4 linked regions of the Pelodiscus sinensis genome follow. The protein of the gene in region 3 interacts with the protein of the main gene of each other region in a pairwise test. Links are inferred from orthologs where the notes say so. Each region holds a gene or a part of one and is shown on either strand. Other genes may lie near its edges. The genes, in order: FHL3; RBPMS; GCM2; heat shock transcription factor, Y-linked-like.

Region 1 (7,828 bases), on a different chromosome or scaffold from region 3:
TCATTAAATGTTTTTTATTAAAACAATGTTTTGAATAGATACTGATCTGTTGCTTAAAGCGGCAAACTCTCTGTTGTCTTTGTTTAAAAGAAACGGCCAGGTGAATTTTAGAAAGCCAAATAACTGAGGCCTCAAAATAACCAGTCTTAGGCAAGCCAAAGCGTCTTGATTTCACTGAGCCATCTGGATGCGTGCAAAATACCACCCCCTCCTCTCCTACAAACACTTTCTCAAAGTAACTCAGTTTAAGCATTTGGTTTACGTTTAGCTTTTGAGTCTGTTGTCTTGTTTCAGGACTGTTTCCATTAAAGATGAAGTTTAAGGCTCAGGACTTTAACCAGCACAATTCCACTAGAGCAGGCACAATACTCCCCTTTCTCATATTTCTTTCAGAAAATGCCACAAAGCTTCTTGGACATTTCAAAAAACAAATCCAGATGTCCACACTGTAGTCATCTTCCTTTTATTGCAAAATGAAAGCATTGTGACCCCGCTGGCCCTTAATTTACACTTTCTCTTTAAGAAAATTACACTGGGAACTCACCTTAAAAGGATTTTCCTTTCCAATCTTTTTCTGCTAGGGCTGGGCAGTGCCACGATTACAATTCATAAAAAGTGAATAATTAACTGAGAACTTACCCTTGGATAGAAACACAGATTATAATTAACGGATTAGACATTTGGGGCCAAATTCATCCCTGGTTACATTTCCCTGAAGTCATTCAAACTCCAAGAAGGAAAGTGTCACAGGTAATCATCCGTTTTGCAAAAATGTGAAAGAATAAAAATAAAAAAAACTTTAAAATCACGTGAAAACACTTTGAAAGAGCAAAACCAGAGTCAGTAGCATTAAACATGTGGGTAACAGGAAATAAACCAACACTCACTGCTCTGGAATGGATGTGAGTGAAATTCTGCAACAGTTAAAATTACCCTCAGAGCCCTCTTGTGAAATATGCTCCAAACACAGAGCTTGAAGTTGTTAAGTAGACATGTACTAACCAGAAGCTAGTATGGAAACAGAGGGGCTATATCTACACTACAAGGTTTTGGCGCAAAACTGGCCATTTTTGTGCAAAAAATGGTGGAGTGTCCACACCTCAAGCAAGGTAGAGTTATTCCTCTCCCCTCAAGGCAGAACTCCTTTTTGCACTACAGCTCTTGCACAAAAAGGCACATGTGTATGCTCTGCAGGGGTTTCTTGCACCAAAAGAGCCTATCAGAAAAAGCACGGGCGCTCTGATGGCCATTCTGTGACTGATCATCGGAGCTTTATTGCGCAAGAGCATCCATGCAGTGTGGATGCTCTCTTGTGCAAAACCACATCGCTTTTGCGATGCGCTTTTGAGGTGTGGACACACTTTTGCGCAAGAAGTTTTGGCAGAAGATCTCTTCCGCGAAAAGCTTCTTGCACAAAAACCCTGCAGTGCAAACAAAGCCTGGGAAGAGATGAAACAAAACACAGGACTATGTAGCACTTTAAAGACTAACAAGACGGTTTATCAGGTGATGAGCTTTAAGTTCCCTTTACCAACTGCTAGGAAAGAAAAGAGTGCAGAGATTCTTACCAAGGTGCTTTGTATCAGCATTTGGCTATTATGGATTTGATACATTTGAAACCAACTCCCCATCTTTCCCTGCTCACCTCTGGCAGCTGAGTAATAGAAGAGAGGCCCTCTGATATTCTACCCCTCCCTCAGCGCCTGGTTTTTGTGATCCTTCTCCCCTGCTGCTTCCCCAATTTAAACTGCCAACTGGAGTTCACCCTTGATCACAGTTCTGAAAAACTGTCTCGAGTCTTGTTAATTGCTCTAAAAGCTTAGTCCAAGATAAAGCAGCAGCTATGGAACACTGTAGCTGTCTGACACAAGACTCACATTTACAGAGTTTTCTTCACTGCTAAAAGGAGGAGGAACTTTTTAACACAATGACAATTTAGATTCTGCAGAAGCTGATGAGTTAGCCCCCTCCAACACCTCCTCCCCCCCCCCCCCACATATACGGGGAAGGGAAAGTTTCCTACTTTCAACTGGTGAATATTCTTTTGCAAGTCCTACCACCTTCTACATGCGATTTGAACTCCACTAGGCAGAGTAAAGGATGAACAAAGAAAAAATGCCTCTTCCTAGCATCCCAAAACAAAGAGGAAGCATTTCTGTAAGTCAGAAAGACTGCCTACTCCCCCACCCCCCGCACTGTGAAGACACACATACCGAGATAGGAGTTCCCCTTTTTTTGTTGCCGGTGCCCAATTTACAGAGCTGGAAGAAGGGCACTAGCACACCAATGTCCTGCTCCTGTATTTTGCTCCTGGCCCAAATATTTTGCAAGGAAGGGGACTGTCTCTATCTTCAGTGAGCGCCCCTAGTTCTATACAATTCATCAGGAGGCACGGACCCTTTCCTGAGGTGTTTACAAGACAGCAAAAGCATCACTGGGTGATGAGGAATATTCCGGGGAGATACAGAAGCGTGAGTGGACTTTTCCAGACCTTGCCCATGCTCCCAAAACCCTCGCCCCCAGGACCCTGCCGCTCGCTGCCTCTGCTGCCCATGGCCCCAGACAGCACATCAGGGCACAGATCTGCACAAGGCAGCGGTACCCCCCGGTGCCCTGCACCTTCCCACGAGAGCGCAGAGGGCTCAGCTCCAGCAAGGGGGCAGCAGCCCCTTGTGGATAGCGCGTGGGGTGGCACCAGGACCGTCCTGCCCCGGACAGCTGGCGGCTGGGCACGGGAGCTGGAAGGAGCCTGCCCATCGGGGAGGCGACACCCCGACTTCCAGCCCGGGCCGGGCTCCGCAGCTGGGGGGGGGCCGTCTCCCCAAAGACCCCTCCCCACCCCCAGGTGAACCCCTTTCCCCAGGGGCGCCCCCACCTGCTCCGCACGCTCCGGGCCGAGTCGAGCCGGGCTCGCTGGCTGCTCCTCACCCGCCGCGCGGCTGGACAGGCGCTGGCAGCGGAAGGGGCCAGCCCAGCCCCGCCGGGGGAAACTGAGCCCGGCCCCTGCCCCGCCCGCGGGGCGGAGCTGCTGTGGCTGGGAGGGGGGTGCAGGGCCCGGAGGGGGCGAGGCCGGCGCTGGGGGAAGGCACTAGGCAGGGTGCTGGGGGGGAGCGAGGCAGGGAACGGGCTGGGGGGGAGGTACTGGGCATGCAAAGTCCCGGGGGTATTCACTGGCACAAGAGCGTGCCTAACCCTGGAGACCCTCTCCCCCAGCACCGTAAGGACTGGCAGACTTAGGGACAGACTAAATAACGCCCACAAGGCGCTGATGCGCAGATACCTCTGGCCCTGGATCATTCCAGACCTGGATCAAACCCACGGCTTTCCTCCCCGATTCCTGAACTCCTCTAAGGCCCGGTCTACACTGCAGCGCAATTTTTCGGGCATCCCGAAATAGCTTATCCCGCGTCTTTTGAGCGCGCCCGTTATTTCGAAATATAACGGGTTCGCTCTACTGCCGTCCCTGTAAATCTCATTCCACGAGGCATAAGGGACGTTTCGGAAGAGCCTTTTATTTCAAAATAAGTGCGGTGTAGGCAGCGCCAAATTTCGGTGAGAAAAAAAGCGTTAAGTCAACATTGACTCGAAATAAGCGGTGCAATTTGCGTAGCTCAAATGACATAGCTTATTTCAAGCTCCGGGCGCAGTGTAAATACACCCTAAGCAGCCTCCGTAAACTAGGGCCTGCAGGGATTAGGGCTGAGCCCATGTCACCTGTAGGCCAAGGTTTGAATCTGCCCACAGCTCAGGAGTGAGTGAATCTCTGGATTTAGGGGGCAGCCACATAGTGGACCACAAGCTAAATATGAGTCAACAGTGTGATGCTGCTGTAAAAAACAAAACATGATTCTGGGCTGCAGTAACAGGAGTGCTGTGAGCAAAATATGAGATGCTATTCTTCTGCTCTACTTTGTGCTAATTAAGTCTCAAGTGGAGTATTGTGTCCAGTTCTGTGCACCACATTTCAACAAAGATGTGGAGACATTGGAGAGGTCCAGAGAAAAGCAACAAAAATGATTAAAGGTCTGTCTAGAAAACATGAGTTATGAAGCAAACCTGAAGGATTGGGCTTGTTTAGTTTGGAAAACAGAAGACTGAGAGAGGACATGATAGTAGTTTTCAGGTAACTAAAAGGGTGTCACAGGGAGGAGGGGGATGAGGAATTGTTCTCCTGGGCCTCTGTCGATAGGACAAGAAGCAATAGGCTTAAACTGCAGCAGGGGAGGTTTAGGTTGGACATTAGGAAAAACTTCCTAACTGTGAGGGTGGTTTAATACTGAAATAAATTGCCTAAGCAGGTTATGGAATCTTCATCACTGGAGATATTTTAGAGCAGGTTGGATAAACATCTGTCAGGGATGATCTAGATGGTGCTTGGTCCTGCCATGAAGGCAGGGGACTGGACTTGATGACCTCTCAAAGACCCTTCTAGTTCTAGTATTCTATGAAAGTTGTTACCATCTCATTGTGCTCAGTTTTCTCCCCCCCCCCCCCCCAACCCTCCAGTTCACATCTTTGTCTTAGTTCCCAGTGTGTACTGGCCATGTTTTGGGAAGTCATCCTAGTGATATGGAATGGGCTAGGTAGCCTCTGCCCTTTTTGATTTTTTGAGGGGGACCAGCTGAGCAGAGCTTAGATGAAACCCTGCAGATACCATTGCAAAAGGTGAGCATGTAAAAGTGTAGAAATGGACAGGCAGAGAGTAATGTGTGTGGGAAGATTACCCTGCCATTCCTTGTGAGATACTCAAAACAGCTACATTTGGATTTCATAGTGTTCCCCGTGGCTATGGTTTGTGTGTGAGGTTGGTAATATTGTGTTCTTTCACAGCCTTTGATAATATTTCCCTAAAGTAGTCTCTGCTCCAAGCCAAGTAGATAGGCTTACCACACTGCATAAATAGCCCTGGGTGAGTAATAGCTGAGGCTTAGCTGGAATTATTTGCAAAGCATGGACAAAAACAGTTATGAAAATATTCCAATTTATCTTCCAGAGAAATTCAGTTCTGCAATAGGCCAGAAAACCACCTCTCTCTCTAAGACCACAGGAGGAATTTAAGTTACATTAGGATCCTTATTCATGAGTTCATTCACTCTTAATTTTTGTAATCAATTTTTACCATACTTGTTTTCCAATATGCCTTACAAAACATGTCCATTTAATTTACAGCTCTGGAGAAAGTGGACATGTACATAGTGTACCTGCTGTACAGTAGCACTCTCTCCTTAAGAGACAAGGAATGGATAAGGTCTCTTTTTATTCTTTAAGTTTTGTTTTTACATACAGACAGTGATTAAAGACCCAAACTCTCAGCTTGTTTTGGAATCAGTTCAGTTTAATACCCAATGGTTTTGCTTAAAATAGGAAGAAAGTTCAACCTAGAGTTGTGTAAGGGAGGAAGGCAGATATAAAAATGGTAGATGAACCAGGGAATTAATTTAAGTTCAGTTTAAACTTTATATGCAAAGAAAATATGAAGAGCTCTGTGTCACTTGAAAGCTTGTCTTTTTTCACCAGCAGAAGTTGGCCCAATAAGAGATATTGCATCCCCAACTTTGTTTTTCTAATTTCCAGGGACCAATATGGCTAGAAACAAACCTGCAAACAACATATAATAAAATGTCACAGTAGCAGTAGTTTTCAGTTGGAGCTGCTCTGCTCAGTGTTCTCTTTCTGAGGGTCATCAGAGAGATATACTAGCTGCTGTACTTTGGGGAAATCTTGGCAGCAGCTAGTGGCTTCTGGAAAGGGAATGAGCCTTGTGAAACTTTTCCCGCACCAAATCCTTTCCCTTAAAGGGAATTTGAAAACTTCTCAATCCATCGCCTCTATCGCTTGCCCTGCGGCACCACCTGCTGGGAGCTGCTTGTGCTCATCAAGCCAGGAATCACGGAGTGCCACAGTTGAAAAATGGGAATTTTTGTAAATCATTTTAACAATGTAAATACAAGAAGCATCTAGCCACTTCCTCCTTGGTTACAGTTCCTCAGTTATCTTTCAAGTATCAGAGGGGTAGCGGTGTTAGTCTGGATCTGCAAAAGCGACAAGGAGTCCTGTGGCACCTTATAGACTAACAGATGTATTGGAGCATAAGCTTTTGTGGGCAAAGACCCACTTTGTCAGATGCATCAGTTATCTTTGTGTTTCTCTTTGATTTGCTGAATTGCTGTGGGTCTTGAGTGCTTTGTGGCCAGACTGTTTCTTCAGCTCCTTTACAGTGAACAGGAGCATCTAAGAACAAATGGGTCTCTTGTAAAAGCTTTGCTGGTTATCTAATAGATCTGGATAGACTGTGGGATTTTGCTTCAGAAGGGTCATTCCTCTGCCTATTATTTCTAGCCCTTAGCACACCAGTCAGTTCACAAAGACCTACAACAGGAGGACTGCCAACTTAGGTGGACCGGACAGCATTGCTGCAAATGGTATCTTGTCCGTCCTTTCTAGGAGACTTGGCAACCATATGCAGCAGTTTTCTTTTGCTGCTAGCTGCCCTGTACAAATCTAATTAAATTAGATTTTTCTACAAAATCTTAGTTTTCTACCTTTTTCTAAATTAATTAGGTCAATCGCATATTAATTTATGTTCCAAAGGTTTTGTCTATCACCCATTTCTGACATGTAAACGCAGACAAAAGAATGAATTAGTGCATTTTGTTCATCTTGTGCATGACATAAAGGCCAGGCGGTCGTTGCACAATGTGAATTTTACTTGAATATGGGATTTTTCTTTTTTAACATGCAATGGGCAGATCCTCGGAGGCTCTGAACTGATATACCTCCATTGACTTAAAATAGAGCTATTGTGATTTACATCCTCTGAGGATGTGTCACAAAAGCATTTTAATATTAGGGGCTTACCAGCCACTTTTGCCCACTCATCTTGTGTTCTTTGGGGCCTATCCTAACTAGCTCATAGAACTGGGATCCTTGCTTAAAATCCAGACCAGAATGAAGAAGATTCCTGCCGGCAGGATATCTTGCACTTAACATCAAAAGAACAAAATGTACCATACAATTTGTAAGATCCAACGGTCTTATAAGATAAAAGCAAAGTCTTTCAATGGACTTAAGTTCTCAGTAAGTTAGAAACAACGAATAGTCCAGTGGCACCTTAGGGCACGTCTACACAGTAGGGCTGTGTCTACACTAGCATAAATTTCCGGAAATGCTTAAAACGGAATACTATTCCATTTTCAGTTTTTCCGGAACAGGAGCGTCTACATTGGCAGGCTGCTTTTCTGGAAAAGCCCTTTTTCCGGAAAAGCGTCTGTGGCCAATGTAGACTACTGGGCTGTCTACACTGGCCCTTTTCCGGAACAGTGTTCCGGAATAAGGACTTATGCCCGAGCGGGAGCAGAATAGTTTTTCCGGAATAGCGGCTGATTTTGTACAGTAGAGCATCGTTGCTTTTCCGGAAATTCAAGGGCCAGTGTAGACAGCTCGCAGCTTATTCCGGAAAAGTGGCTGATTTTCCAGAATAAGTGGCCCAGTGTAGACACAGCCTAGCAGTGTTTTGGAATAACGCCCATTATTCTGAAATAACTTTTCAAGCGTTCAGCTAATTTTGATATGTTAGATACACTGAAACATGACATACAATAGAACTAGGATAATGGAGGCAAATGTATCTTATTTCAGCATTTGTAAACCTCATTCCATGAGGAATTATGCCTCTTCCCAAATAGCTATTTTGGAATAGGTGTGGATTTTCCACTGCTGCTATTTTGAAATAGCTCCTCCTCCAGGCCATTCAAAGTAATTACTTCCCAATGCTTCCTGGGGCTCTAAATTGAGGTGGCACGTCCACATGGGGGGAGCCTGCCTCAGA
Region 2 (7,104 bases), on a different chromosome or scaffold from region 3:
AAAAAGTGAGGTGGGGCTGGTGAGCCTGACCTGGCTGGCCCCAGAAACACACTGAGAGGAATTAAGCAGAGTTACCAACCCTCCTGAAATGCGGCCAGGCAGTAGGTGCGGGGTGTGCTTTGAGAGAGGCCTCGCCTCCCGGGCGTGCCTGCCTCTGCACTCCACTGCATGGAGACCCTATGTAACCGCACTGCCCTGGCAACGCACAACAGCATGGGCCTCTCCCCTGCTCACCCTGCCATGCAGTGCTTCCTGGAACGGGCGTATGGCACTCCCCTGCACTGCTGCTGTCTGGGTGCTGTCCTGGGATCCCCCAGCCGGGCAGGGCAGGCAGTGCCAGCCAGGCACACAGCCCCAGAGCGCCCGGGGCAGGGCAGTGCCAGCCAGGCACACAGCCCCAGAGCGCCCGGGGCAGGGCAGTGCCAGCCAGGCACACAGCCCCAGAGCGCCCGGGGCAGGGCGGGCAGTGCCAGCCAGGCACACAGCCCCAGAGCGCCCGGGGCAGGGCGGGCGGTGCCAGCCAGGCACACAGCCCCAGAGCGCCCGGGGCAGGGCAGTGCCAGCCAGGCACACAGCCCCAGAGCGCCCGGGGCAGGGCAGTGCCAGCCAGGCACACAGCCCCAGAGCGCCCGGGGCAGGGCAGTGCCAGCCAGGCACACAGCCCCAGAGCGCCCGGGGCAGGGCGGGCAGTGCCAGCCAGGCACACAGCCCCAGAGCGCCCGGGGCAGGGCGGGCAGTGCCAGCCAGGCACACAGCCCCAGAGCGCCCGGGACAGGGCAGTGCCAGCCAGGCACACAGCCCCAGAGCGCCCGGGGCAGGGCGGGCAGTGCCAGCCAGGCACACAGCCCCAGAGCGCCCGGGGCAGGGCAGGCAGTGCCAGTCAGGCACACAGCCCCAGAGCGCCCGGGGCAGGGCAGTGCCAGCCAGGCACACAGCCCCAGAGCGCCCGGGGCAGGGCAGTGCCAGCCAGGCACACAGCCCCAGAGCGCCCGGGGCAGGGCAGTGCCAGCCAGGCACACAGCCCCAGAGCGCCCGGGGCAGGGCAGTGCCAGCCAGGCACACAGCCCCAGAGCGCCCGGGGCAGGGCAGGCAGTGCCAGCCAGGCACACAGCCCCAGAGCGCCCGGGGCAGGGCAGGCAGTGCCAGTCAGGCACACAGCCCCAGAGCGCCCGGGGCAGGGCGGGCAGTGCCAGCCAGGCACACAGCCCCAGAGCGCCCGGGGCAGGGCAGGCAGTGCCAGCCAGGCACACAGCCCCAGAGCGCCCGGGGCAGGGCAGGCAGTGCCAGTCAGGCACACAGCCCCAGAGCGCCCGGGGCAGGGCAGTGCCAGCCAGGCACACAGCCCCAGAGCGCCCGGGGCAGGGCAGTGCCAGCCAGGCACACAGCCCCAGAGCGCCCGGGGCAGGGCAGGACGGTGCCAGCCAGGCACACAGCCCCAGAGCGCCCGGGGCAGGGCAGTGCCAGCCAGGCACACAGCCCCAGAGCGCCCGGGGCAGGGCAGTGCCAGCCAGGCACACAGCCCCAGAGCGCCCGGGGCAGGGCAGTGCCAGCCAGGCACACAGCCCCAGAGCGCCCGGGGCAGGGCAGTGCCAGCCAGGCACACAGCCCCAGAGCGCCCGGGGCAGGGCAGTGCCAGCCAGGCACACAGCCCCAGAGCGCCCGGGGCAGGGCAGTGCCAGCCAGGCACACAGCCCCAGCAGCGCGCAGGGGGACTCAGCCCGCACACGCTGGCTGGGGGCTCTAGCTGGAGCCGAGCGGCGCGGGGCCACGGGAGCTGAGCGCTCCAGGGCACCACGAGTCCCGCCGGCCGAGCCGCCCTGCGCGGCGGGGGGCAGCGGGAAGGCGCGGCCCCGGAGGTGGCGCTCCGCGGCCCGGGCGCCGTCCCCGCAGCGGGCGAAGGCGGGGCCCGGCCGGAGCGGAGCAAACACCTGAGTGAGCCCGGCGGGGCGGCCGGAGCGCCCGGGACAGACCGCGGGCACCTCCGGAGCCTCCTAGCTACTCCCCAGCCCCGCTCCCCTCCGGGATCCGGCCCCTACACCGCTCCCCCCGCCCGGCCCCCCTACACCGCTCCCCTCCCCGCCCGGCCCCCCACACCGCTCCCCTCCCCGCCCGGCCCCCCTACACCGCTCCCCCTGCGCCCCAGCCCCGCTCCCCTCCGGGATCCGGCCCCTACACCGCTCCCCCCGCCCGGCCCCCCTACACCGCTCCCCCCAGCCCCAGCCCCCCACACCGCTCCCCCTGCACCCCAGCCCCCCACACCGCTCCCCCTGCGCCCCAGCCCCCCACACCGCTCCCCCTGCGCCCCAGCCCCCCACACCGCTCCCCCTGCACCCCAGCCCCCCACACCGCTCCCCCTGCACCCCAGCCCCCCACACCGCTCCCCCTGCGCCCCAGCCCCGCTCCCCTCGACGCCCCGCCCGGCCCCCCTACCCCGCTCCCCTCTAGCCTCCCCACACACCCCGTCCCGCTCCCCGGCCCCCGCACCTCCTGCCCCGCTCCCCCCAGTAGCCACACTGCCCGCCCGCCCCCCCAGACCCTGTGCCCCGCTCCCCCGGGGCCCCGTCCCGCACCTCGTCCTCGGGCAGGCTGGGCTCGGCCGGGCCGCTGTCCTTGTCGGCGGGGAGGCTGTTCATGCTGCCGTCCCGGGGCGCGCGGAGCCGGCTGCGGAGAGGCTGGTCCCTGCCGCTGGCAGCAGCATCCAGGCGGGGCGGGCGGCGCTGCTCTGAGCCCCCGGCGGCCCAGCCCGGCCCGGCCCGGCAGGGAGCAGCGGCGCGGGGGCGGGGGCAGCCAGCGCGGCCGCCGCTGGGGCAGGAGTCCGGGGGCCGTGCGCCTTGCGCGCTCCGAGGCCAGCGCCTCCCGGCCCCCTGGCGTGGGGACGGGGCGGGGCCGGGTGTGGGGCCCTGCGCGCCCGGGGCCCGCTCCCTCGTGGGCTGCCAGTCACAATGGCGCAGCCCCGAGGGCAGCCTCACCGCCGGGGGGTGGAGGGTTCTGCTGTTGTGGCCACTCATTCAGCCCCTAACCCTGCTCCCTTGGGCACCAGCCGCCAATGGGCCTCGCCCCCTGGGGCCCTGGCACCTCCCCCCCATGTACTGTTCTAAGGCACCAGGCACCCGCCGCCAATGTTGCACATCGAGGTGCCCCACTCGCTAGAGCAGAGGTGGGGAACCTCAGGCCCGTGGGCCGGATGCAGCCCCTGAGGCTCAGGGCTCCCCCCCCCATCAGGGAGTCCCTGCCGCCCCACCATGGGGCTTGAGCGCACAAAATCTACCAGGCCAGGGCCCCCTAGACTCTGCCCAAGGAGAACGTGGGGACTGTCTGTCTCCTTCTGAGTGAGCCCCCCATCAGTGAGGGTTGCTCAGGTGTGTGGGGGCTCAGGTGTGAGGGCCTCCCCAGCTGCCATTGGTCAGGAAACAGCCAATGAGACTGCAGATCTGGTGCCCGGGGTGGGGACAGTACATGGAGTCCCATGGCCACCTGGCCTAGGAGTTAAACCTTCTGCTGGCCGCTTCCGAGGGCCCAGTACAGTTTCTGGTGCCAGGACAGACAGGGGGCCTGCCTCAGCACCCTCACTGGCCACCCTACAGCACGGCACCCCAGTGCCTGGCATCCCACGACCCAGCGCTGGGCTGCAACGTGTACTTTGAAAATCACAGGATCACATTATAAGGAGCAACTTTACATTGAACCAACTTTGCACTTGTTCTGAGTTTCTCCTCTTGCATCCTGAGCAGGAGAGCACTGGTGCAGTCCTGGGCTATGCTGGATCTACACTGAGCCCCACTGAAGGCTGGGCACTCCCCTGACAACAGGCTATGCCTCCACAGATCCCATTGCAAGATCTAGCCATAGCCCCCCACATTCACATATTACTTCCCCCTTACCAATGTTCCCTCTTTTTCCATACCTGTGCAGAATAAATGTTATGTGCACCACGTCACGAGCAGCTGTGCACCCATCAGTAGAAACACTTGCTGTGAGATCTCTGCTAATGAGCTGGGCTGCACCTGAATGTCTCCTGGATTGCTTTCAGGAAACACTGATTCGCAACCCCCCTTGGTCTCAGCTCAGCCCATTGAGTGCAGTCCAGAGGTGACAGTAAGCAGGTGTGCCCGGGTGTGCAGCTCCAGCAAGGAGCTCTGGAAAGAGCTGGCAGGGACCAGGTTGCAATAGGACAGTCCCTGTAAGACACTGTCAGTTGGTTTCAACGCTGGCAGTCTGAGCTCGGACCAGAGTGGCTGTGCCGGAAGCAGGGCAGAGGAGAGACTGGACAGTCCCCCCGCACTCCAGTGCCCTGACACCGGGGGCAATGGAGAGAGTCCCTCAATTGTCAAGGCCGAAAGAGGCACCTCATTGAAACTCAGCCGGCCCCTGCAGAAGAGAGAGATGTCACACAGCACAGTCCCAGCACTGGGGTGGGGACAGACAAGGGTGACAAATGGGCCCGTGGGCTCCCCCCCAGCATACAACATATGCCTCTTTCCCTAGAGGGGTACCTATCCACCCTCCCAGACCCCTTCCCAGCACCCAGCTTCCTTGGTACACTGGTGGCACTTACAGAACTTGGCCAGCACGGCAGATACACAGGGCAGCACAGGCTGTCTGTCTCCATGCGCCAGGGGATGCTTGAAGGAGGGTCCAAAATGAAGCATCTTCCCCGACCTGTGGGTGTTGCTTTGTTCCCTTAGAGGTGACTGTTGGGGGTGACCTGCCCTGGGCCCCAAAAACACACTACTCTGCTTTATCTTGAATACTGCATACAGATGTGGTCACCACATCTCAAAAAGGATATCTTGGCACTGGAAAAGTTCAGAAAAGGGCAAAAAAAATGATGAGGGGTTTGGAACAGATCCCATATGAAAAGAGATTAAAAAGACTGGGACTTTTCATCTTAGGGAAGAGGAGATTAAGGTGGGGAGGATGATAGAGGTATAGAAAATCATGACAGGTATGGAGAAAGTAAATAAGGAAAAGTTTTTTACTTGTTCCCATAACATAAGAACTAGGGGTCACCAAATGAAATTAATGGGAAGCCGTTTTAAAACAAACAAAAGGAAGTTTTTCTTCATGAAGTGCACAGTCAACCTGTGAAACTCCTTGCCAGAGGATGTTGTGAAGACCAGGAATTTAAGGGTATGTCTAGACTACATGTCTCCATTGACAGAGCCATGTAGATGAGTTTACTAGACATAGGAAAATGAAGCGGCGATTTAAATAATCACTGCTGCATTTACATCAAAATGGCCACCATGCTGTGCCGATCAACTGTTTGGCGGCACAGCGGGGCAGTCTGGACGTGCCGCGGTCGATGAGGGAAGCCTTTGTCAACCGCTCCGGTAAACCTCATTTCATGAGGCATACCGGGGTGGTCAACAAAGGCTTCCCACATCGACCGCAGTGCATCCAGACTGCCCCGCTGTGCCATCAAAAAGCTGATTGGCACAGCGCGGCGGCCATTTTGATGTAAATGAAGCAGTGATTATTTAAATCGCCGCTTCATTTTCCTATGTCTAGTAAACTCATCTACATGGCTCCGTCGACAGAGCAATGTAGTCTAGACATATCCTAAGGGTGCATCTCCGCTGCACCCTTACCTTGAAATAAGCTACGCAATTTGCGCTAATTGTGTAGCTTATTTCGAGGTAATTTCAAAATAGCTTATTTTGAACTTTGGAAATAAGGTACTATTCCAAAACATCCCTTAACCCTTGTGGAACGAGGTTTACAGGGATATCAGAATAGCGAGCCCATTATATTTCAAAATAATTGGCGCGCTCAAAAGACACAGATTAGCTATTTCGGGATACTACCGAAATAGCTTTGCTGTGTAGATGTAGCCTAACAGGGTTCAAAAAAGAGCTAGATTAAATTCATGGAGGTTAGGTCCACCAATGGCTATTAGCCAGGATGGGCAGGGATGGCGTCTGTTTGTCAGAGGCCGGAAATGGCTGACAGGAAAGGGGTCACTTGAGGATTCCCTGGTGTGTTCCCTCGCTCTGGGGCATCTGGTATTGGCCACGGTTGGAAAACAGGCACTGGGTTGGATGGACCTTTGATCTGACTCAGCGTGGCCGTTCTTATGCTCTTGTGCTCTTCTCTCTCACATTGTGTGCACACGCTTCTGGGGCTACCTCTCTTATTGCACCTCTGCACAAATGGACGAAAGACAATTCGCATCCCATACAAAATATTTCTCCAGGCCTAATGCAATCTCAGGCCCAAGCACATGGCAGTATGCTGATTGGGAGGGGGGTCGTGTGTGTAGGACTGTTATGAATGATATGCTTGACTCAGGGCTAGCCTTACCCATATGCAGAATATGCAGCTGCGTAGGGCCCCCAAAAATGTGGGGCACCAGTGGGTCTTAATATCCACCCACCTGCCTCTTCTTAGCGCTGTTCTGTGACTCCGCTTCTTCCGGAGAGGATCTAGTTAACGTAAAAATGAAAAAGCCAGCGCAGTTAACAGACATTGAAACTGTGAAAGAGCCATTCAAGGGAGAATGAAGTAACTGAACAGGCATTTGTCAACTCCAGGTATATACTGTCAGGTTCTGAATTTACTTTCATTCGGGTGTTGCTGAAGTGTATAAAATTCACAGCTCTAAAAGTTCTCCCCCCCCCCCGCTGCTTTGGGGCGTAGGGCCCCACAAGTCCTGAGGACAGGCCTGCTGCGGCTCGGAGTGGCTACCCCACAGGCATAGAAGGGTTAAGCAGCTGCAGTGGGGCAGAGCAGGAGACGCGAGGTGTGTCTCTTACTTCCCTGTGCTGGCGGGAGGGGGGATGAATGGGCGGATTGTGAGTGCTCTGGCTGAAAGGACCCCTAGTGAATTGCAGAGAGCTGCTCCTGCCCTGTTCACTGGCTGGGCAGGATGCCTCTGCTGTCCAGTGTTCCCCGAGCCGCACGGACCACCTGGCAGGAGTGCAGGACGCCTGGGGCTCTATGGATCACAAGGGGCAGGGGGGAGGGCTGTGTCTGCATGGGCAGAGGCTGTACCACTGGCTTCTTCCATACTGTACGTTCAGCGAAAGGGTCGGCTTCACCTTGTCTCTGGGCTCTTTCACTAACTTTCAAGCCGTAGCGTCCTATGGTCCCCTGGCTGCCTTC
Region 3 (7,421 bases):
ACAAACAAAAAAAAATCCCGTAGCGGAACTACAGGCTTGGCTCTTAGTCTCACAGTCGTCCCCCCCATGTGGTAAAGGAAACTGGTCCCAGAGATGGGCTTTCTTCCCCCACCACTGAGCTCCTAGCTGGCTACCGCAGCCCACCGCCTCTCACCATAGAAAAAACTAGGCAGAGAAACGGCAGCAACCTCCCAGGCTGCCAAGTAGCAAAACGCCCCCGCAGGGCGGCCCTTGCAAAGAGCAGCTGTCCGGCTGGGGCGCGTGTGCGCTTCCTGCAGCTTGGCCACTACGCCCTTGCCGCGTGCAGTGGTCAGCACTCCGGCCGGAAGCGGTGCCGCGTTCTCCTCTCCTTGCCCTCTCCCCTAGGAGACGCCGAGTCCCACCTCGCCCGCGCAGGAGGCGCTCGGGGCAGAGGCGCCGCTTGGCCGTTCGAGGTCGGGATGCGCCGCGCGCCTCAGGGGCCCGAAGGGGGCGGCCCCGACACCAGCGGCCTGGAGCGCAGCAGTGAGTGGGGGCGGGGGGACATGGGGCTTGGGAGCATGCCGGGGGCAGGGATTGGCTGGCTGGCTAGAGGTAGCAGGGTCCGGCTTGTCACCTCCAGCTGGACTTCTAGTTCTTTTCCCGGGGGAGATGCGTTGTGGAGGAGACATGAATGGAAAAGGGAAATAAGAACAACCCGGAAAACTACAGAGCGGTCAGTTTAACTTTTGTAAAATACAGGACTATGTAGCACTTTAAAGACTAACAAGATGGTTTATTAGAGGATGAGCTTTCGTGGGCCAGACCCACTTCCTCAGATCAAATAGTGGAAGAAAATAGTCACAACCATATATACCAAAGGATATATGGTTGTGACTATTTTCTTCCACTATTTGATCTGAGGAAGTGGGTCTGGCCCACGAAAGCTCATCCTCTAATAAACCATCTTGTTAGTCTTTAAAGTGCTACATTGTCCTGCATTTTGCTTCAGCTACCCCAGACTAACACGGCTACATTTCTATCATTATTTAACTTTTGTGCCAGGGAAGATACTGGAGGCGGTAATGAAGGAATTCATCTGCAAACACCTGGAAGATAATAAGATGATAGGGAACCGCCAGCATGGATTTGTAAAGAACAAAGCAGGTCAAACCACTCTGATAGCTTTCTGTGGTAGGCTACCAAGCCTTGTGGATAAGGGAGAAGTGGGTGGAGGTGGTATACCTGGACTTTAGCAAAGCAATTGATACAGTTTTGCATGATCTTATTATCAATAAACTAGGGAAATACAACCTATTTAGGGCATAACTGGCTGGCTAACTGTTGTCAGAGAGTCATTATTAATGGTGATAGAGATGTAGCCGTGTTAGTCTGGGGTAGCTGAAGCAAAATGCAGGACAATGTAGCACTTTAAAGACTAACAAGATGGTTTATTAGATGATGAGCTTTCATGGGCCAGACCCACTTCCTCAGATCAAATAGTGGAAGAAAATAGTCATAACCAAAGCTCATCACCTAATAAACCATCTTGTTAGTCTTTAAAGTGCTACATTGTCCTGCATTTTGCTTCATTATTAATGGTTCACAGTTCCGCTGGAAGGGCGTAACAAGCAGTGTTCTGCAGCAGTCTGTTTTGGGACCGGTTCTGTTCAATATCTTCATTGACAATTTGGACGCTGGCATAGAGTGTACACTTATTAAGTTCGCAGATGATACCAACCTGAGAGGGGTTGCAACTGCTTTGGAGGATAGGATCATGTTCAAAATGATCTAGACAAACCAGAGAAATGTTCTGAGGTACATAACATGAAGTTTAATAAGGACAAATGCAAAGTACTCCACTTAGGAAGGAACAATCCGTTCCATACATACAGAATGAGAAGCAACTGTCTAGGAAGGAATACTGCAGAAAGGGATCTAGGGGTCAAAGTGGACTGTAAGCTAAATATGAGTCAACGGTGTGACACTGTTGCAAAAAAAGCAAACATGATTCTGGGATGCATTAACAGGAGTGTTGTGAGCAAGACACAAGAAGTCATTCTTCCGCTCTATTCTGCACTGATTAGGCCTCAGTTGGAGTGTTGTGACCAGTTCTTGGCACCACATTTAAAAAAAGACGTGGAGAAATTGGAGAAGGTCTAGAGACGAGCAACAAAAATGATTAAAGGTCTATTAAATATGAGCTATGAGGAAAGACTGAAAGAATTGGGCTTGTTTAGTTTGGATAAGAGTAGACTGAGAAGGGGATATGATAGCAGTTTTCAAGTATCTTAAAAGGCTGTCACGAGGAGGGAGAAAAAAATGTTCTCCTTGACCTCTGATGTTAGGACAAGAAGCAATGGGCTTAAACTGCAACAAGGGAGGTTTAGGTTGGGCATTAGGAAAAACTTCTTGTCAGTGCAATTAAACACTGGAATAAATTGCATAAGGAAGTTGTGGGATTTACATCACTGGAGATATTTAAGAGCAGGTTAGATAGATATCTGTCAGGGATGAGATGGTGCTTGGTCTTGCCATGGGGGTAGGGAACTGGACTTGATGACCTCTCAAGGTCCCTTTCAGTTCTAGTATTCTGTGATTCTAAGACTACTGGTTGTTACTTATCACTGGGAGCCTCATGCTCTTTGGCTTTGCACATATGTGTAATGCCTGAAGAGGTCTTTTTAGATCATAATGATCATGACATTAGCAATTATTTTATTATTTCAAATGATAGGTTAGTGATCTGACTTTCTTTAATACATCCTAATTGTGTCAAGTGATCTATAGTGCACAATAAAGGTTCTGTCCTGTACCTATTGAAATCAATGGCAAAACTCCAAGGCTACTTCTACACTGGCATGATTTTCCGAAAATGCTTTTTTCCGAAAATGCTTTTAAAAGTTTTCTGTTAAAAGCATTTTCAGAAAAGCACGTCTAGATTGGCAGGGTGCTTTTCCGCAAAAGCACTTTTTGCGGAAAAGCGTCCGTGGCCAATCTAGACGTGGTTTTCCGCAAAAAAAAAAAAAGCCCCGATCGCCTTTTTCGCGATTGGGACTTTTTTGCGGAAAACAGTACTATGCTGTCTACACTGGCCTTTTTGCGCAAAAGTCTTTCGGAAAAAGACTTTTGCCCGAACAGGAGCAGCATAGTTTTTCTGGAAAAGCACTGATGATTTTACATGAGATCGTCAGTGCTTTTCCGGAAATTCAAGCGGCCAGTGTAGACAGCTGGCAAGTTTTTCCGCAAAAGCAGATGATTTTGCGGAAAAACTTGCCAGTCTAGACACAGCCCCATTGATTTCAGTGGTGTTGGATTAGGCCTTTAATACTGTTCATGCTTGTATTTTCAGGAAGCTCCTCTAAACAAATGAGGATACAAGTAGCAGCTTGTGTAATTTTGTGTCTTGGAACCGCTGCAGAGATGAGCAGCAACCCTGTTCCTGTAGTGGGAACTTCTGCGTAGCTGCAAAGCAGTCACATAGCGGAAAAGGCAGATTCCCATTGGTTTCTATTAGAAATTTGCCTGAGGGACAGTGGCCGGATGAGTTGGCTCTGCTAATAGGAAGATACTGACATTAGCAGAGCCTTAGTTCTTCTACAAACTTTGTAGCTGCAGCAGGATACAATGATTCGCTGTACCATGGGGAAAAGAAAAGGATTATATTTAATTGTGAACATATCAGCTTGCAAACAAGGAATACATTGTCAAACCAGGCTTTTTAGCTGATCCGTGTTCTCCAAATAGGGCCTTTGGTAGCATTCCTCTGGGTTCCCTCCTATGTGAGGAGAAATGAGTATGTTTCACCTGCATCCATGGTTCTCTAATGTTCATTCAGAGGTTTGACTAGGTGGAATGTAGGATAAATAGATTTGTAATGTAGGTTCCAGCCAGATGTGTGATTCGCAGTCAGAACTTCTGAAATAACAGACTGAATCAGTTTCACACCAAGATAGAGGTGCACAGTAGCTACTTCACAAACTCCCAAGGAAAGGCAGTAGAACTATTCCTTGTACTGCCAAACTTCAAATAACTACAATGAAACAGTGTTTTTAGTTGCTGCTTAGTGTGATAGCAGCAGCTCCAGAGGAGACTGACCCCTGCCATTGCTTGAAGTACCTTCAAACTGGAAGGGTTGGAGGATCACAGATGCATCATGCCTAGGGATGTTACACTTTGATTAATTGACTAATCCAACAGTCGATGCAATTTGCATCAACTATTCGATTAGTCAATAAGGGTGCCTCTGCCTTTGAAGTGTAGCAATAGTCCCAGGCTGTTACTATACTTCAAAGCGAAAGTGCTGCAGGGAGCATGGGGCCAGCGGGGGACTCAAGCAGTAACCCACTGGCCCCGTGCTCTCCATGGTGTTTCAAAGCAGCAGTGTCGCATGAAGTCCCCAGCTGACCCCGGTCTCCACGTGGCGCTGCCACTTTAAATCTGGCCCTTGACTGCATGTGGCATTTCAAAGCAGCAGTACCATGTGGAGGCCAGGGTCTGGCCCTGGGCTCTACGCAGCATTGCTGCTTTGAAGCAACCCTTCCTCTTCCCCCTGCCTTTTGCTGCCTCTTTCTGATAGAGGCAGCAAGGGAGGAGGGGGAGGAGTGACTAGTCATTCACATCCCTAATCGTGCCCTCCTGAAATTACTGAGCTGGTAAAAATTGGGCAGTTTTTGCTACAAGATCAGCAAAATGCAGCACTATAGAGTTTACACATATGTAAACTCGTGCATTTTAGAGACATTCCAGAATGTGGGTATTTTAAAAAGTCCTCCTCCCCTCTCCCCAACCTCCCGACAAGCATCACATTAGGAACCAGTGTGTACTAGAAAGTAAAATATACTGAACATATTCTTACCAGACAGGCAAAACTTCGGATGCCTGCCATTTGCCTCTCTCAGAACTGGAGGCCCAATGAATAAAGGCTTGCTATAAAGCCAAGAGCCAAGCCATGTTCTTGGTTATTTATTATAGCCATGGCCTCCTTATTAGTCCTAATATCGCATTTCTGTGAGTTAGGTTTTTAGAAATCTATCAGAAAGAGGCAGCAAAGGGCGGGGGGAAGAGGAAGGGTTTAGTATGTGTGTGCAGGTGAGGGGGTATGAACATGTCATTCAGTAGCAATCTACTAGCTGTCAACTTTTAGAACAGTCTGGGAGTCATTCTGCATTACTGATCTGAGGAAAAAACTTCCACTAATGCATGTGAAAGGCCCTGTCAGATTTGAGGATTGTGCCGGGACATGTGCTGTTAGTCTTGTCCTGAGCCTTGTGTCAAAACCAAATAGATAGAAAACAAAATACTTGTGTAAGTAGTTTCGTGTTTTCATCCTGCCACACTCCCAGGTTCCCTAGTGCCAGATCCAAAGCTTAAGATGGTAGTGACTGGCTTCCCTTGGCATAAGTGAATGTTGCAGACAGTTATACAAATGCCCTGGGTGTGACTACCTTGTGGAAGCAGTCCTGCGGCCCTAGCAGTGGAGATGATTGCGCTCCTGGCTAAACACAAGACGGTTTCAATTTAAAAGCAAAGTGGCAGACTGTGAGGCTTGAGGCTGGGTTTGCAGTACTGTAGTACTCCTGCTGCTCCCCTTTGGCCCTTGGCGGCTGGCTCTCATGGTCCAGGACCTTGAGGTCTTCGCGTCTCAGATTCCCAAACTTTTCCTTCATGCTTAGTGACTGGTGGGGAGGAGTCAGCCTTGAAATAAAACACCTCTTCCCCCTCCCCTTGTGTTTAGTACAAGCCAGGCACACGGGAGGGAGATGACAGGCCAAGCAGGAGCCCTGTGTCACATACACGCATAAAAGCAGGAATCAAAGTGTGCAGCGGTCATGAGCTGCCACCTCCTTTCAGCACCGCAGTCCCTGGACAGGGCAAAGTGCAGGGTTGTGCTGTAACAGGCAGCTCAACTCAGACAAGCAGTGGCTGCCTTGCGCTCTGCTGCTCTGGGGCAATTCCGTCTCGGCCCTCCTCGCGTGTTCACACTGCTGCTGTGCAGGGTCCCTGCTGCCAACCTTGGATGACCATGTCCAAGGGTCCGCTGGAGCTCCTCGGAGCTTCGGACTGCATGTGCTCCTACGGGATGAAGCTCACCTGGGACATCAATGACCCTACACTGCCGCAGGTAGGAGGGAGAGGAGGGGGATGGCGCTTTGATTTGAGGAAGCATGGTTTTAATTGCTTGCAGCAGTGCTCTCTGCCTGGCTCCAGCCAGCCCAGAACGAGGAGTCAGACTGGGACCATTCCCAGAACCTCACCTAAACAGCTGCACTTTGTGCACACAGAATTCAAGCACTTGTTTAAATTGAACAGGCTTCAGAACTGGATGGTCCTGGCTGTCCTGGGGCATTTATGAATCCTGTGTCTGGGAGACATCAATTCTGGACTAAAGGTTTTAATAAAGCTGGTTTAAAGCCCAGAGTTTACCTATTGTCAAATTATATGGGTGAGGCTAAGGGAACATGGGGAATGGGCATGTAGACAGCCTGCAATCAGAAATTGTAAAGGAAAGACGCCAAAATTGTTCTTCTGTGAGGTTCCTTTGCTCATTGGTTTTAGTTTTTGTGGCTTCTGGAATTTGTTTGAAAAAAAGACAAGATCTCAGAGATCTGATCGCTGTATTTTAATTCAGTGACAATAAGAAATTATACCTGACTGGTCTCTTTTAAAAGTGATAAACTGTGTATGTTTGGGTTGTTTTATACTGGACAATATCATTTTATATCTGTCTATCAGGCTACTTAAAAACTGAAAAGATATGGTGGAATAATATCTTTTATTGGACCAAAGAGATATGATTTTCAGCTGGACATAGCTGAGAGAGGTATTCAGAAGTACCACACCTGAATGCAAGGCAAAATGTTAAACATGGGGATATACAGTGGTGATTTGTTGAGCAGGATAGTAGACCTCAAAGTCATATTTTAATCCTTCTTTATAATAATATTTGGATGCTTCCATATATATTTAAGTGCTTAGAAAACACTTATGAGTGCCATCAACAGCCCTCCCCCTAAATAATTTTAAAATTAGCTATTACTGTAAGTCCAATGGGGAAATCACTCTCAAAAGTTTCCAGACAAATGTTAAAACAGAAGCGAAGTTTCAGTATCCTTTTCCTATCTAGCTATGAAGAAGGGGAAACTGATCTCAACCTCTCTGAAATCTGTGTTTGACCCACACACATCCTGTGATTGTGACCCCAAGTATGAAAGCTCATGCAATAGAAGATAAAGCTGGAAGAAGAGATTCCTTGATTTTATATACCCAATGTCTCTTTAGCTTCAGTACTTTCAATCTTTTATTGGATTCTATAGAATATAAAGTAGACTTTGTAATAGAATTCAAAACCAAAAGATTTGGAGAATGTTTCCTGCTGTGGAAGAATTCAGTAGTATGGAACATTAGGTGCCTGATATTGCAATAGGTTACTCACACCAAGGGTATGTTTACACATCAAAGAT
Region 4 (7,609 bases), on a different chromosome or scaffold from region 3:
AGCCAGAGCCCACTCCTCCTTTTCTCCCCCCGCCCCCCAACTACCTGCTCCAGGCCACCACCCAAACTCCCTTTCCCCTGGGTCACAACTCCCTCCCAGACCCTGCACCCTCTCTTACACCCTTTCCCTAGGCCAGAAGCCTCTGGCACCCATACCCCCTCCCTGACTCTGCATCCCCTTCCCCTGCCCTAAGTCATCACCCAAACCCTCTGCACCTCATCCCCCAGGTCACAACTCCCTTCAGACCCTGCACCACCTCTTAGGGTCCCTCCCTCAGTCCAGAATCCTCTCCTGCACCCATACTCCCTCCTGGACTCTGCACCCCAAGCCTCTGCCCAAGATCACAGTCCCTTCCTTCACTCAAACTCCCCCTCAGACTCCACACCCCCTCCTGCACTCAGTCTCCTACCCCAACCTCCCTTCTGCACCTAACCTCTGTCCCAGACTCCAGACCGCCTTGGTAGAAATGCAGCCCTTGACCACTCGATAAAATCTTGGAGTGGCCCCCCCATTAAAAATTATTGCCCACCTCTGAACTAGATAGGTGGAGATTAACACAGTGGGCATAGTCAGAAGAAGCTTTGCAGCTTATGACAGTTTTTCCTTATGAGTCACAGGCTGTGTATGTATCCCTTGTTGTGAGTGTCTTTCTGTAATCCATCTAAGTTTGATTTTGACCCCTTAGCTTCTTGGAATCACAATGTCAAAGTCCAACAGAATTAGTTCAGTCCTTAATCCTTCCACAGTAAATTGTGTTTCATATGGTTTATTTTTTATTGTGTAGAGGGTAGGGTTTTTCCCCCCTCCTGTTATGTATGCTGAAGATCCTATAGCATGTATTGTAAGCGGATGGGCTTGTCCTGATGTCCTTAGCCAATATTTTTTCTCCTTCAACCAGAACACAGAATAGCAATGTGCAGTTAGTTGTGACTTCCACTCCAAGGGTAGCTTTATTTAACGATGCAATGTGTGTAAATATTATAAAAACCGTTTGGGATCCTTTTATAGTTGAAAGAGTTTATATTATTTATTATTGTAAACTGAATTGTCTTGTTTTATGTCTCTGTAATCACAACATACACTGACTTTTTTTAAACTTGTTCTTAGATCATAAGTAATTTTTTCATATTCAGCTGCTATATGAGTTCTTGTATTGATTTGGAGGAGTTGGTATATAAATAATGGTGGTGTGAAAATATTTAATGGATTTAGCCCTATAATAAGGAATATCTTAGCTTCATATTCTTTACCAATATGTATTAAAAAGGGCCTTGTGAAGACTTGATCATGAAAGTATTGACTAATTTCTTTTCAGCTAGTATATTCTCAGTGTCTGTAGCTACTTGTTTCATCAAAGCATCTCCAGCATAGGTTTCTTCCCCAGACCTAAGATTTTTGTCTGATATGTTTACTTTAACATCAGACTTCTAACTGTGTTTCTGCTAGTTACAGTAAAACTCCATTGGTCCGGCATCTGACGGTCCGGCACTCCTGATGATCCGGCACCATCAGGAACCCGGAAGTGCTCCGCAGCCGGACCATTGGAGCTGCTCTGCCCCCAGCTTCCCCTATTCAGCCGCTGCTAAAACTGACCAGCGGCTGAATCGGGGAAGCCGGAGGCAGAGCAGCTGGGGCGCTGCCGGGTAGGTCCCCTAGCGCTGCCCCTGGGGGCTGCGGGACCAACCCGGCAGCACCCCAGGCGTCCTGATTCAGCCGCTGCTGAAATTGACCAGCAGCTGATTCCAGGAAGCCTGAGGTAGAGCTGCTCTGCCTCAGGCTTCCTGGAGTCAGCTCTTGGTCAATTTCAGCAGCGTCTGACTTGGGGACGCCTGGGGCAGAGCAGCTGGGGTGCTGCTGGGTTGGTCCCGCAGCGCCGCTCCTCGGCGCTACTGGATCAACCCAGCAGCACTCCAGCTGCTCTGCCCCAGGCATCCCCAAGTCATCTGCTGCTGAAACTGACCAGCGGGGGCTTCCTTGAGTCAGCTGCTGATCAGTATCAGCAACGTCTGACTTGGGGGGACGCCTGAGGCAGAGCAGCTGGGGTGCTACCGGGTTGATCCAGTAGCGCCGAGGAGCGGCGCTGCGGGACCAACCCAGCAGCACCCCAGCTGCTCTGCCCCAGGCGTCCCCAAGAGCAGTTGGGGTGCTGCCTGGTTGGTCTCGCTGCGCCAAGGGTCGGCGTTACCCCGACCAACCCGGCAGCACTCCAGCTGCTCTGCCCCAGGCGTCTCCGATTCAGCCGCTGCTGGTCAGTTTCAGCAGTGGCTGAATCAGGGACGCCTGGGGCAGAGCCGGACTATCGGAAGGGGGGGCTATGAGGGGTCTGGAGTGGTACCCCCCCCTCACCCCAGACCCCTCATAGCCCTCCCTTCCGATAGTCCGGCATATCTAATAATCCAGCACCCCCTGGGTCCCAAAGGTGCCGGATTATCGGAAGTTTACTGTATATAACTTTTTAAACCTGTGTGGGGTTTTTTGTTTGTTTTTTAAGTCTAGAGCCTAAATTGCCTCCTCAACTTTGTGCTTGGAAGAGTAGAGTGGTGGAACATTACAGGGCACAAGTCAGTCTTCACCTGTAGCTGTGACCACAGTGCATTTGCAGTGTAGCTGATGACAACATTAGCTTAGTGTTTAAGGCTATATGCTGTAGATCTAGTAGTGTGTTGTATAACTTTTATTTTATGAGTATGAGTTAGGTAACATAACCCCGGTCATTCCAAATGGACCCCATGTGCTTAACAAACAAATGTACTTAAATTCATTTCAGTTGGAACTTATCTAGGTGAAATATGGCAACCGGTCACCAATCTTAATATCTGTTTGACAAGGATATCATGGAATCTTTAATTGCAAGTAGTCAGGACGTTGGCTTTGTTTTATGTGAAAGATTTGCCTGTAGCAGGTAAAATACTTCTGTATGCCATGCTGTGGGATTAATTAATGGAAGGGTACTATCTACTGAGTCACTAGCACCATGTGTTAGTGTCTAACTATTTATAAACAATATTTATATAAAAGATTTTAGTATAAAAATGAAATGAGTACTTGGTTTTAAAGTGTAATTTCCTTCTTGATTAAAACTGAAACTATTAATTTGGATTTGTCCAGGGTGGTTTGGAATTCGCAAAGATTTCTGTCAATTTCTACTTGAAATTTTCCCATTCTTGAGAGAATATGGAAATATTTCCTATGATCTTCATCACGAAGATAATGAAGAAATGGAAGAAACACCTGTTCCAGAACCTCCCAAAATTGCACCAATGTTCCGAAAAAAGACTGGAGTGGTCATTACACAAAGTCCTGGAAAGTACGTTATTCCACCTCCCAAGCTAAGCATTGATGTGCCAGATTAAAACGAATTTAGAAGATGGACAACTGACAACAAAACTGGAACTAGGAATAAACAACCAAATGTATTTCATCTCAAAAAATGTTCTAATTTCTTTTAAGGATAGGTATTTGTCAGTTAGTGGCTTATAATGTATTACATTGGAGATTTTTAAATGATTTCTTTTGGAGCTTTCCATATTTACTTAATCTCATGGTAGTGAATCCAAATGGGAACACTAGTTAATCTTTTTTTTTTAAATATACCTATAAAGTCATTACCAGAGAAATTAATCCAGTATATCAATTGTAGTGCATGGGGCATTGAAAACTTTTAATATTCTGTAACATGACCTCTGGTAACTCAAATTCAGATTTTTCTACACCTCATTTAAGCATTTTAAGTATTGTGTTCCTAGTGTTATGATCTTTTGTCCCTGAAGATAGGTGGTTGTCTAATCGGTGAACCTTCCTAGTGGATTGGTTATGTGCCTGGCTGTATAGTATTTATACGAACATTGTAGCAATGTAATATATTCTGTTCAAATTCTAGTTCTGTACAGTATAAATATTATGTAAAGGTATTTTTTTAAAAACTTGTATGAAATGCATAGACTATTACAGAGGATGTCTTTCAAGTCTTAAGTATATATTTGGCCTCTCTTGCTGTATGTTGTTTAGATATATGCGTTGGCATGTCTTTACCTGTCATTTCCTATTCAGACATGAACACTATCTTTAACTACAGAGGCACAGGAGCATTGCACTTCTCTGGCAAGACTTGAAGGCTTTTGTTTTATATAGAATGTATAACAGCTTACATGATTTTGACTCAATGTAAATTATTGTGTAAATAATCACAACCGTTGCACTGACTTGTGGGTGGGGGGGTAGATGTTAACTGTGTTGCGTCTTCAAGTTCTGTAGTCATATTTTACCATTAAGCAACACATTATTAGTTATTAGCCCCTTCAGCTGTTTAATAAACTATTTTTTCCTATATTATGTGGAAAATCTATACTTTGTTTTAATTGCTCAGATTTTGTAGATTGTCATCAATTTTACAGCTGACATAAATACCAAGACTGTACTGTTGCATAAACTACCCTATCTTTTGTGAAACACAGGTCAGTCCAAATTATTAAACCCTTTACAAGGAGCTGTGCCATTTTAAATTAGTAAATTCTCTAGAAAAGTTTCTGTTTACTTTGACATTGTCATGAATTTTGGGGGGTGACGGGTGGGTTTTTTTTTCTTTCCCAAACCTCTACTGAGGATGCTTGTAGGTTAGTGAGATTAATCTGAAATTCATGTTACAGTAGTTTGTTCTCTTTGGCAAAGAGATGCTTGTGTTTGCTCTTACAACTCAGTGATAAGTATACACTCTGATATCCATCAGTACTGTTTTTCAAAAAATGGTTGATACAGGAATGACAGGAATGTGGAAACTCATCTCTTCACTATAACCACTAGCCACAGTTAGTTATGCCAGAAGTAGGGAATATATTTGTTCTGACAACTGTAATACTAGTGAGGCAAGTGCTCCCTACTGCATTGCCTTTATTCTTCCATCTACCCGTTTCTCCCCCCATCCATCCCCAGTCTCCCCGGTAATGGGCATTCAGTGGTGGAAGATAGTTCATTATAGGCCACACTGTTCCTCATCTACTGCAGCAAAATTGGGGTTTAGAGGTAGCCTCCTAATAATGCATTTATATCCCACCATCATTGTCCACTTGGACTTGAGAACATGCTCTGCTCGACCTCCTTGAGAGGCCCAGGGAGTAAAAGGCCTTCCATTTGTCCACTGGGCTACCCTACTGGAAAAGAGCAGCCGAAAAAACGCGTAGGTTGAATTCCCACATTCTCACTGGAAGGGAGAACCAATAGGAAGTCAACATCTAATAGACAATCTCCTTTCTCCCCTTCTTTCTCTCTCTTATCCCTGTGACAAGTGCTGGCAGGTGACTTGGTTTGCTCTGTAATGTTACTATCACATAGAAGATGGGCAGTGATGATCAACCTGTGGTGACTTTTTTTCAGATTCTTTCCTTCTGCCTTTTACCAGTACCTCCTTCCCCAGTCTTTGGAGCAGAAAGAGGGTTCTGCAAGAGACCAGAGGGAACAGTCTCCTTTGCAGCTGCTAAATGGAATTGTAAATTCTTATTTTTATATACAGTGTATGTAATTTAAATACTTGTACTCCTATTTTTTTTTTCATACAGCCAGGGTCTGATGGCAAGAACACAGTGTGGGGAATTCTTCACTAGTGAAAGAGGCTCAGTGGAAAGACTAGGCAAATAAATTTCTTCCTTTATTCCCAACAACCGCAGCAGTACAAGCTTCCCTCAGCTCTGTTGTGGAATGACTGCTGTGGGGAGAGGGAGGAATGGATGGTACGGTGCTCTATGTCCAGTTAGTATATGCCTTATTTACATCATGAGACAAAGCTTTTATAGATTAGATCTAATCTCTCGTAAATGATATTTAAATGCTTTTCACTTTAGTGACTTGTCTGGCCATTATTACCTCAATTTGCTAGGAAACCAGTTGTTTTATGATGTCACAGCCACACACCACAAGTATCATTATGATGTTCTAGAACTCTCTACTGAAGTTTCACTTTAAGCTAGCATCATTTTAATATACCACTGTCTAGGAGCATGAAGCTCAACTAATAGCATAAATGGCTACAACTGAAAAAGGTCAAAGCGATAAAGGATTGGAGATGGACCTTCCTATAGCAGAAACATTACATGTTTCAGCTCAGGATGAAATGGTTGATTCTGCTACCTCAATTTCTTCTGCTATTCCATTGTGTGATAAAACAGCAGCTGGTGACTCTGCCTTGAGGTCTATAATAGAAGAAAATGCTTTTCAAGCTCTGAGTGATGGACCATGGGTAAAAAGACCACGTCTTACTCTCTGTGAGGATAATTCCACTGAAGACAATGATTTTTTATCCCTCACCTTTCCAAAGAAACTATGGAAAATTGTTGAAAGTGATCAATTTAAGTCACTTTGGTGGGATGATGATGGAAATTGTGTAGTGATTGATGAAGAGCTCTTTAAAAAGGAGGTGCTAGAAAGGAGAGGCCCTCTGCGAATTTTTGAAACTGATTGCATGAAAAGTTTCATCCGTCAGCTTAATCTCTATGGCTTTAGCAAAATGCGGCAAGATTTTCAAAGGTCTGCCTCACTAGCTGAATTTCTAGCAGAAGAAAAAGCAGCATCTGCTTTTAGCAAGGTAAAATGCCAGTATAGTTTCTCAAAGCTTAAAAGATGCCTATTCTGAAATACATTTAATGAGGGTTTTTTGCATGCACAAAAGTTTTATGCTCATGAAGAGAATCTAGGAATGAGGGTTTTGAAGGCTATTCTGACATCCATAGTTCTCAAAGTATTCTCATGAATGAGTAAAAAAATGTGAATACTAGTTTTTTGCCCAGAAGTGACTATTTCAGTGTGGGTTTTTCCCTGCTCGCCTGAGCCAGTGAAACAGAAATCCTCTCAGCCCCCTTCTCTTTCTCTCTTCTGGTTACTGGTGTACTTCTGGTACTAGGTTTGCATTGCTTTCTTTTCCCACTGGCATTTGCTGAATGCTAGGAAGATGGATATGAGCCATGTGTTACTATTTGAACATTTATGGCCTTTTATCTAAATTACTAAAAGTCAAGGGGACTTGTACTTCTGGACCTAAATCTTTTACATGCTTTAGAAAGTCTCCTACTGTCGGATAATATCCATCCTTTTTGTTTAAACTTTAGTTTCGATACTAGACCCACTTAAGAGATATAATCCATTAAAATATTACCTGTCTGTATTTCTAACACCTTTTAAATTTCAAATTTACCTTTCACCATTTCTGCCATGTTTGCTTTTTGCACTTAATTTGGCTTCTACAGTGAAAGTAAGCTATTCAGGTCCATTTCCTGAGGTTAAACACAATGCTGCAGGAGAATGTTTAAATTCAAAGAATTTTCACTGATTTAAAATGTAATGAAAATACCTCTGTTTCATCATATCTTTTTTGCAGCTTAAAATTGGGGCCAAAATTGTTTGCCAGTGTCCGTTCAATATTAATGTTTGCTTTATGTAGGCAAAAATCTTAGCCAGAATGTGCACTTGACTTTTTTTTATTCTCATAGAGGTGATTAAATCTTTTCCCTTGCTTTATTTAGTTACAGTTCTACCATAACCCGAATTTTAAGAGAGGCTATCCCCACCTCCTTGTAAGATGTAAAAGAAGAGTTGGCATCAAAAATACACCACCAGTTGCTTT

What was found.
Region 1: the proteins of GCM2 (region 3) and FHL3 interact in binary tests that used the Homo sapiens proteins (3 or more experiments, as listed by UniProt). The link is inferred for Pelodiscus sinensis from reciprocal best matches to the Homo sapiens genes GCM2 and FHL3.
Region 2: the proteins of GCM2 (region 3) and RBPMS interact in binary tests that used the Homo sapiens proteins (3 or more experiments, as listed by UniProt). The link is inferred for Pelodiscus sinensis from reciprocal best matches to the Homo sapiens genes GCM2 and RBPMS.
Region 4: the proteins of GCM2 (region 3) and heat shock transcription factor, Y-linked-like interact in binary tests that used the Homo sapiens proteins (3 or more experiments, as listed by UniProt). The two-hybrid records come from large-scale screens. The link is inferred for Pelodiscus sinensis from reciprocal best matches to the Homo sapiens genes GCM2 and HSFY1.

Annotation. Positions count from the first base shown.
Region 1 is NC_134735.1:10,806,838-10,814,665, forward strand, and holds the start of FHL3 (four and a half LIM domains protein 3), read right to left. Parts: upstream 3,014-7,828; 5' UTR 2,876-3,013; intron 1-2,875. UniProt on the Homo sapiens protein: Recruited by SOX15 to FOXK1 promoters where it acts as a transcriptional coactivator of FOXK1.
Region 2 is NC_134715.1:5,179,114-5,186,217, forward strand, and holds the start of RBPMS (RNA-binding protein with multiple splicing), read right to left. Parts: upstream 3,017-7,104; 5' UTR 3,009-3,016; coding exon 2,571-3,008; intron 1-2,570.
Region 3 is NC_134712.1:110,465,162-110,472,582, forward strand, and holds the start of GCM2 (chorion-specific transcription factor GCMb), read left to right. Parts: upstream 1-4,408; 5' UTR 4,409-5,977; coding exon 5,978-6,082; intron 6,083-7,421. UniProt on the Homo sapiens protein: Transcription factor that binds specific sequences on gene promoters and activate their transcription. Through the regulation of gene transcription, may play a role in parathyroid gland development.
Region 4 is NC_134723.1:41,600,530-41,608,138, forward strand, and holds the start of heat shock transcription factor, Y-linked-like, read left to right. Parts: upstream 1-4,607; 5' UTR 4,608-6,013; coding exon 6,014-6,574; intron 6,575-7,508; coding exon 7,509-7,609. Other genes in the region: TMEM185A (transmembrane protein 185A), read left to right, coding at 3,109-3,353.